Linked DNA regions of Oryzias latipes. Each later gene encodes a partner of the first gene's protein in a complex. Links are inferred from orthologs where the notes say so. Each region holds a gene or a part of one and is shown in the gene's direction. Other genes may lie near its edges.

Region 1 (4,820 bases):
ATTCAAGTGATTGTGTGGCAGCTCTCTCATTCTTTCAGAAAAAAAAACAAGTTGAAATAATACACATTGTTTAGTCTGCACAGCTGGATGCTTCTCAGAAAAAGGTTGAATGAACCCACGGGTGTGTTTGCAAGCCCAAGGTGCCAGCCATGTCTGGAGAAAGTTGTCCACTGAAGTGGGGTCAGATTCAGTGTGATCCCTTCCCATTAGAGTGGCACCAGGCGGCGGCCGGCTCGTCTTCTCAGATTACAGCCAAAAGAAGCAGCGGATTCTGTTTCTATTGATCCGCCTAGGAAACGGGCAGAGCTGCAAGGCAAGAGAGGTGAAATCTGAAGCACTGAGGAGCTTTGAAGGACAGTGGGCTGGATTTCTGAGGTATGTAGACCCTGGATGCACCTGCAGTATCCCCAAGCAAGCTTTACTGTATTTTCATCTGTTTATTTAATAGAAAAAAAAGCATTAATATCCATTTAGAGCACATGTGTCAAACTCAAGGCCCGCGGGCCAAATGTGGCCCACCATGTTATTTTATGTGGCCCGCGAGAGCGTAAAAGTTTTTTATTTCTTAAAATAAAAACTTAAAATTGGTGTGTATTTTTTCATATCTAGGGGGAATTGGATTTAAAATATTGGAATGGGCAACTATACATTAGGACATAAACACTGTCCATATAACCTAACCTGGCAGAATCAAATTTAAAAGGATTTATGCTAAAGTAACAAGCAAACATTTGTTTTCTATCTGTTATTGTCACTTTAAAAAGTTATAATAAAGAAATAAATGAGTTATTTAACATTAAGGAGAGTAGTTAGGTTTATTTTCATTACATCTGGCCCTTTGAGGAAAACCACTATGCTGATGTGGCCCTCAGTGAAAATGAGTTTAACACCCCTGATTTAGAAGATAAACACTGTTGCTTAATTATTAAATGAGTTACTTTACACACTTTTGCAGATATATGCGCCGATTTAACAAGTCTTCCTCATCTGTAACACAAAGCACGGTTTGAAATGTTTGAATATGAACCCTCAAATCTTACTGGGAAAGCAAATCCTAAAAAACACAACCTTTTCTGAAAACTCATTATTTCAGATGATCATTTTATTCTCGTCCTGTGGTTTCCTTAAATCCGCCACACGAGGGCAGCTGTGGTCTGTTAATGGACCATCTGCCTCCAATCCCAGCTGTTTGGGAGACAGTTCTTAGCATCCAGGTTTATCCAAGAAAAATCCCCACCACCCCCTCTCCTCCTGCCCACCAGCGGTACCCGATTGCTGCTGCAAGCAGCTCCCCAATTCCATCAGATCGTCCTCGTCTACATGAGTTCGGGCGCTGTGGGGTCAGATTCCCTGAGCTTCAGATGACTCACTGGGATCAAGTGGTCAGACACCAGCGGCGCGCAGAGCGCACACACAGCACCAGATTAGATGTGGAGTCATGAGCATCTTTGGCATTTTGATACGACTAAATCTGCTTGGTGGAACTATACCTTTGCTGTAATTACCACAAAAATGTGAATATTTGCCAAGCAAAGTTTAATCATCCTGATTAATTAAGCTTTCAATTATTTATATATTTTCCAAATATCTTTCACCTTTTAAAACAAGCAATCCAACCCAAAACAAACAGTGACTCATTTGTGCGCTGAGGTTCATTTCCCATCACCTTCAACTTCATTAAGGCTGCGCTCTCCTCTGCGCGCGCAGAGGCAGCCTTGGGGCGCGTCGCTGAGGTATGAGAGCCCATGTGGCTTCCTCACTGACTTCTTTCTCAATCATGTGAGACGAGCGCAGCTCTCTGTGGAGCGGCACACTGCATTGTGGCGCGGTTCCTGCAGGCGCCCTGCTCACCAAATCGCACTCGGGGAGGCGATCCCACGCTGTCACATAACTGCGCGCGCGAGGTGGAGAAAGAGAGAGAGAGAGAGAGAGAGAGGGATGAAGACGGGGACATTAAACTTTGCGTGATTGTGCCTGTGATGCTTTCACGTTCACCGTGGAAGTCCTCCGTTTCCCGTCGTTCGCTGTCAACACAGCAGCCGCGACCTCTCAGAACTGTTCATGCCGGAGAAAGTTTCCGCGCCACTCGGAAGAGGAGCGAGGGTGAAGAAGACTAGGCAGCAAAGCGCGCGCTAAACTTCTCGGAAACGTCGGCGCTAAAACATGGGCACTTTGCGCGACCTCCAGTACGCGCTCCAGGAGAAGATCGAGGAGCTGCGCCAGAGGGACGCGCTTATTGACGAGCTGGAGCTGGAGCTCGACCAGAAAGACGAACTTATCCAGAGGTTACAGAACGAACTGGACAAGTACCGATCTGTGATCAAACCGGCAACCCAACAGGTCCACAAGCAGAATGAGCTGCACGAGCAGCAGCGCACGAAGAGGCAGGCTATTTCTGCAGAACCCACTGCGTTCGACATCCAGGATCTTAGCCACGTCACCCTGCCTTTCTACCCCAAAAGCCCACAGTAGGTGTCCACCTTTCATTTGGTCAAGTATTCACATCCATTGTCGTGTTTGCGTTCGTCCTTCAACACCTGTGGGATTCTTGTGCGTTCGTGTTGCGCAGCAGGTACTTCACCTGTAGCGCAAGGAAGAGGCGCACGCGTGCACGCACACAGACGTGCGTCTACAGACTGAGAGGCAAGACTGGGAGGAAAAAGTGAAATCAAGCTTTCAAACCAATACATTAAGTAGTGAGTGTTATCAATACTGGCAGCAAGGCAAGCAAAGGCTAATTAACAGAAATCCCCCGCGACACCACGAGACAATTAAAAGTCTATTGAGGGACTACAGGGATAATTTTGGGTTTACATGAAGATTTGCCGCCTTTGAGCGTAAAATAAGTTTTACTTTCAGCAGCTGCTGGATTGTAGTTTATTCACAAGCTTCCATGGAAACAGACCACTCACTTTGATATCTGAACCTGAAGCAAAAGGCAAAAACACACAAAATAAGTTACTATGATTTTGGACATATAGATATTTCCAATCATAAAAACATTTCTAACTCATAATGAATTCTGCGTCACTTGAAGTTTGTTATTCAGCTGACAAATGCATTTAATCTGAAGACAGTCAGGTTCAAAACCCCAAAATATACTGTATGTCACAAACAACAAAATAATACTTTATTATTATAACTTTTTTCCAAATAACCTTGACGTCTCAGACTTCCTGTCAAAGCTGAGTGATCATCTCCTAATTCCCTTTTGCTCCAAGTGTTTTACATTTGTATTTTTTTTCAAAGCTCCAGCATGTGAGGGTTTGTGACTTTGGCTCTGCTGTCTGGGTCTTGTTTGATGTCAGTTGCGTTTGATTTGCTCGGCGGTCTCCTTTTTTTTGCTTCTGTCACACCTGTGTTCTGTTAGCAACCCCCCCAGCTGCTGCTGATTATTCTCCAGATTAGTCCATGCTTTCTGTTCCCCTGCCTGCTTATTTTTGTAACCGCATGTGTCATTTATGTCAAGGTAGTAGCTTTTAGCTTTAGTTCTTCAGGCTACTTCAGTAAATCAGTGAAGATTTGGCCAACTCACCCTCTGGATCTTACATTTCCAAGAAAAAAAACCAAACACAAATATCAAATGTGTTTCCTCCTTCAGAAATAGTGATGCATTCAAATTTTTTTTTGAAAAATGTACAAATACTTAGTTATAACCATGCTAATACCATTAATAGGACTATATTTCATACATTGCCTAAAAGCTAATTTAAGCATTAGACATGACAACTTTTTTGATTATCTCAGTCCCTGTATGGAGTAACATTTTGAGTCCTAATTACTCCTCTAATAGTCATAATTGTGATCCATTTATGCACTAAACAAATTACATCAGTGGTTTCTGTACCTTTAATAGTGTTTACGTTTTTTTTTCTTCTTATTTTCATTTGAGTGAAGTTGGGTTTTTTATTTTGTGTAAAGGATTTATTCAGATCCGAAAAATGTCTAAGAGAAAATAACTTTGCTTTACTGCTTAATTATGTCATTACCCTTGTGGATAAACAACCATCTTTAATACCTTTTTTATTATGTTCTGCATGTTGGAATGCAGCCATAAAGTCTGTTCCATTTCAACAAATAGTTTTTCTTTTTGCTTCCATACAGCGCCCTTAGAACGCTCTCTTTGTATCATCTCTCTTTGTTTTGTCTCATTTTTGTGAGCCTCTCCTGTTTTTCTGCCACCCCTCTCCTCTTTTTCCTCCTTAAAGTGCATATTTTCTCCTTTTAAGGAAGGCTGAACTTGCTCTGCCTAAACTTCAGTGGATGGAAGCAAATGTCTCATTCTCGTAAAGTAGGGGAAGGCAGATGTTTTTGTAAGGGTCTTGCTGGAGGAGCTTACTCAACCTTGGCAGCGATTGGAATTGAAAGGCTTCGAGCCTCCTGGGTGTAAATATAACAGAAATGGGGTCAATGAGGCACATTTCCAGAGCACTGGGGGTCAGCTTTGGTGGGGGCGGATTTTGAACTCGATTTTGTTTGGTTGATTCGACATGTTTTCTGCTGTGTAATGTGCACAAAAAGGTCTGTTGTGGAGCATCATCTTAAAAACTGTTGCTCCCCAAAAACCAAGACTCCTTTGTTAAAGTTTATTCCCACTAAGACGAATTGGATCTAATTATTTTCTTGTTGAATAAATGACATATTTGAAAATAGATGTATGAGAAAAATGTAAAGTTACACCTTCAAGTGCTAAATTAAAAAAATATATATTTTTATGCGCAGCAGCTTTAAATTGTATAAACCCCCAGAATAACTGGATGCTTGTTTCTGAACCTTTTCATCTCCAACATTTAATGGAAATGACGTGACTTGAATCTTGG
Region 2 (4,584 bases), on another chromosome or scaffold:
GAAAACCACCTCATGGTGATGACATCAGCCATCCTACAGTAGCTTTTAGGCTCTAATCAGACTTTACTTTTTGGAAACGCCAGAAAACTAAGTGAAGTGATACAGGATACAGAGCTAAATAAAAAATAAATAATTTTATTGACAATCATTTTTTTCAGCTTTTAAATTTTTAGTTTTTTTTAAACATTTTTTTTAATGTTTTTCCACACAAACTGTAAATGTCAGGATAGCAGTAAGTAATTTGTCTTTTATTTTTAATATCATGTGTTCCTGTGTAGATGGTCTCACTGAGTCCAGGTCTGCTGGAGGATTTTTTTATTTTGTAGGAAGGATTTATTTAGTTAAAAGGCTCACTTTATATATATATATATATATATATATATATATATATATTCCTTAAAATCTCACTCCAATCATCTTTTGATTTATTTTAAACACGTTCCTTATGGTCTTTTAATTACAGTGGTGCTGGGACTTGTGTGTTTTTCTAGGACATTGTTTCTGCAGAGCGGCAGCAGTTTATAAGAACTTCACCTCCTTTCCAAAAGCAATAACAGTCCTCAATTCCCAAATGCACAGATAAAATCCATATTCCTGTTTACTTCTCTGTCCACAGTGTCAAAACTCTTACCCCATTACCACCTCTTGCACTTTTGACATGTTTACACACAGTTTGCGTACGCAATTGTGCAGAATTATTTCAGCACTCTTCATTACAGTTTACAGTTTATATTGCACTCTTGTATATACTGTTTGTTTGTTTGATTTGATTGTATTACGATGTTTCTTATTATTTTCCCTTCGTGCTGTTCTTGCTCTGATGGCAATGCTAAAATCTCATTGTACTATGCACAATGACAATAAAGTCAATCTAAATCTAAATCTAATCTAAATCTTATTCAGGAGGGGGTGGGACCGTTGGCGCGGGCCAACCCCCTCCCCGTTGCTGAGAGCTCTCTTGGGTTTTTTCTGCTCCCAATTCACAACGATTTGAAGAAAAAAAACAATAACTCAGAAATACAATTTAATCTTTATTTTCTTCATGTGTGTCTCCAATCATCAGAAGAATGCCACAGAAACACCATCTGAGTGGGTTTTCATGGAGTTATCATTTTTCTGCAGGTGCAATTGTTTTGGTCTCACAAACATTTTCTGCTCAGCATTCCAACAAAACAAGGGATAGAAGTTATGAAAAAGATTTAAAGAGACTTATTAAAGTCGATGATTTATAAGTTTATTGTATTTATTTCCATATAAAATGAACCAATTCTGTGAAACACATTTAAATAGAACTGTTTCAGTTCGTACTTTTACCATAATTGGAATAAATCTGCTTAATATCCGTTGACAGAACCGTAACACGTGAACGTCACGATGACACGACCGCAACAATCGGCACCTCTCTCGCGCACGCGCACTCGGAAAAAGTGACACCGCTTGCTCAGTCATGCCCGAGCGATGACATCACTCGGCCGCGCGCGCGCCCGAGCAGACTGCGCCGTGATTGGACGGCGGCCCCGACCAACCGGCGGGCGCCGACATGGCGAGGGTTTAAAACGACCCAGAAAGATTCCCGCACTGTCCGTCGGAGAGGGTCAGCCGCGGGTCCGAGCGCATGAAGCAGTGACAGCCGGCGGTTTCCGCGGACTTCCGGTCAGGTTTCCCGCTTTTAGGGAGAGAGACACCCAGAAAGGGAAGCATGTCGACGCACTTCAGGAGCGGACCGGCCTTCGGACTCTCTGCCGAGGTCAAGAGTAAGGTGGGTGTGTGGCCTTTGATGATGGGAGAGAGGATTGTTCTCCTCAGGAGGGGGGTCCACCAGATGGGTGTCATCAGCTCCTAGGACAGGTGGGGGAAGTCTGCAAACTGTTGGGACTTTTTTTTGTTTGTTATTTTTTTATGAGGTTTATAGAAACCAAATCAATGTAGGACTCTGATCTAGTTTGGTTCAGCTCAGGCCATGCACTCCCCCCAGAAGGAGGGGTTGTTGGGGATTATGGTGAGGATGAAGGAGGTGGACGGAGGGCGCTGTTCTGATGATTCTGGGAACCAAAGGCCGATCCAGATCCATGGCACTGGTGTGTGTGTCTTCTGGTTCTGGTTGACAAAAATGGTCCGTTTCCAGCCCATCCATGACCTCCCCTCTGAACGGCTCCATCGCTCAGCAGCGCCTTCCTTTCACTCTGCTGTTCTCCAAGAATTCCACATTCCTTGCAGACAGCGGCCGCCTCACAGGACCCGGGATCGAACACGGACGAAGAACTGAAGCCGGGATGGTACGACCCAAAAGCAGAGAGCAGCGGCGCCAGCAGCAGCAGCAGCATCCTCTGATGGCCTTTTAAGGAGCGACCGGCCGGGAAATGAAACTGTGTCCCGACTCTAAACTGTTTACATCTGAAGCAGGACTGATAAAACGCAGGTGGACAGGGGAGAGATGGGGGGCCACGCCAACAGGGACCCGCCCCCTCCTTTCACCACGAGACCATATCTGGAGAAGAAAAAGAAGAGATGGAGCACAAAAATCCACAATAAAAGAAATAAAAATGACCCAGAAAAAAGATAAACGCAGCCTCAACAGGAGACAAACCAGCGTCCTGCTTGTGCCTGTCCCAAGCCCGGCAAATCTATAGAATAGTGTTGAGAAGAGAACTTCTGACACATCGAGTGGATCAAAGGAGAAGAGAAATATATGGAGAGATGATCTGCTATGATGATAGCTTGGTTTTCTGAGCATTCTAGGAGCTCACAGGGATTTAACCATAAAAATGTATTTATTAATCCATTTATTTTCATATTTTATTGATTCAAATCTTTAGGGGAGCTTTCTTAGTACGTTTCTGCTTTGGCTTTTGTCCAAAAAGAAATAAGCTACAGAAAGTTATGCAATTATGAAAACAACTTTTTTTTTTATATTACATTTTTTTTATACATTGCATTTTTTTACAGGTAAAGTATTAAAATAAACTTCTGTATACATTTTCTATTATTAAACAAGGAGTAGTTCCAGAAGCAGAGAATTTGTAGTTTTACTTTTTCAAACTGGTCTATGGTTCTGAAATGCATGTTTTTAATATAAAAATAGAAACGTAAATGTTTTTAATAGAGACCGGTTCATTGCTAACTCAGTGTTTTTATTTTCAGCAATATTTAACCTTTTTTTTCCCCTTTCCAGTCATTTTTAAACAGGTTTTCAGTATAGAATGTGTTTCTGTAATGATTAAAATCCCAAAAAATGCAGCCAAAAAAAACTCTCCTGAATCTAAATCCGGACCCGATCTGGGTCCTAGAACCAGAACCTGCTGCTCCTGCCGCTGTGATCCTGGAAAACCTCCACGGAGAGGAGAAAAGGAGGTGCAGAAACTTGGGGATCATGGGGAGAGGAGGACAGTGGAAAAGGGGAAGGAGGAATTTCTCGGAATGGCGTTTCTCCCAAGTTTGGTGTGATGGACTTGAAGCCGCGCTATCCCTGCTGCTTTCAAAGACTTGTTTGTGTTGGCTGCCGATCCCAGGCTTATCGGGAGAACATTCAAGAGAAGCGGGGAGAGACTGTGTGCGAGCATGAGGAGGCGGCGGTGGGAGGGATGGGGGGTGGGGGGGGTGGCCTTAAACCCCACGCCAGAATTCAACGTATTAGGGAAGCCGGTTTGTGCCCGTTAGTAAATGCATGGATGGAGGAGAGATGAGCATGCAGGAATGTCCACAGGCCTTTTTCTGATCTCTCTTCCTGTTCGCCTTTTTTATTCCAGTTTGGAATCCTTTAGCTACCCGTTTGTTATGAGCAGACGCCAAATAACTGAGGCCTAGAAATGGGAAGGGTAAAGGAAAAAAATATGTCTGCGTACATGATGGACAGATGGATGTAGGGCTGAACAATATGAGAAAAATCTAGCAATTTGCTGTATTAGTAGTCAATATTGCGATGATGATATAACTTGCGATAAATGAACAAACGGCAAAAAAAGCCTAGTTTACGTAGGGTTACATTGGTCAACATCGTGAAGGCGTCCATCCGCTTGGTCAAATGCATAAAGGGATTTATTTGATTCGTTAAATACTTCAAGCTGCCATAAGGTTGTTTTAGCTCATCAAAGGTAACCATTTATTGCAATTTTCACCGTCTTTTAACCATCGATAACGATAAATTTGCGATTTATTGTGCAGGCCTAGATGGATAGATGGATAGAATTTTGTAGTGTATAAGCTATTCAAGTTATACACTAACCAATCAAATGCTCCAATAAAAGTATGTAGAGCCTGCTGTCCCCCACGTCCAGCGTTCGAAACCTTTTGATTGAGAGATTTCGTGTAGTCCGCCTTTAAGTGGAAGGGGTGTGGACTTCCAACAAGGTCACTGCCGATTCACAAGAGTGGTTGCCATAGAGACAATGATTCAGCCTGGTTCAGAGCAATCAATGCTTACTGATGTCGTCTGGCTCCAACATGGCGGCGTCCGTATGGCCAAAAACTGGCAACTCAATTGACTTCATTTAGTTGGAGCAGGACGTAAGTTATTTTCTGTAGGTGACGTCATCTCAAGCTACGTTAACACCAGCCATATGGCGCTGAATACAAGCCGAAAAAGGG

What was found. The genes of interacting proteins can lie anywhere in the genome.
Region 2: prkg1 (region 1) and cnn1 share a complex: the UniProt entries of both Homo sapiens proteins name them as parts of the cGMP kinase signaling complex. The link is inferred for Oryzias latipes from reciprocal best matches to the Homo sapiens genes PRKG1 and CNN1.

The regions. Positions count from the first base shown.
Region 1 is NC_019873.2:20,154,704-20,159,523, forward strand, and holds the start of prkg1 (cGMP-dependent protein kinase 1), read left to right. Parts: upstream 1-1,617; 5' UTR 1,618-2,163; coding exon 2,164-2,468; intron 2,469-4,820. UniProt on the Homo sapiens protein: Serine/threonine protein kinase that acts as a key mediator of the nitric oxide (NO)/cGMP signaling pathway. GMP binding activates PRKG1, which phosphorylates serines and threonines on many cellular proteins.
Region 2 is NC_019866.2:22,605,568-22,610,151, forward strand, and holds the start of cnn1 (calponin-1), read left to right. Parts: upstream 1-1,495; 5' UTR 1,496-1,699; coding exon 1,700-1,759; intron 1,760-4,584. UniProt on the Homo sapiens protein: Thin filament-associated protein that is implicated in the regulation and modulation of smooth muscle contraction. It is capable of binding to actin, calmodulin and tropomyosin. The interaction of calponin with actin inhibits the actomyosin Mg-ATPase activity.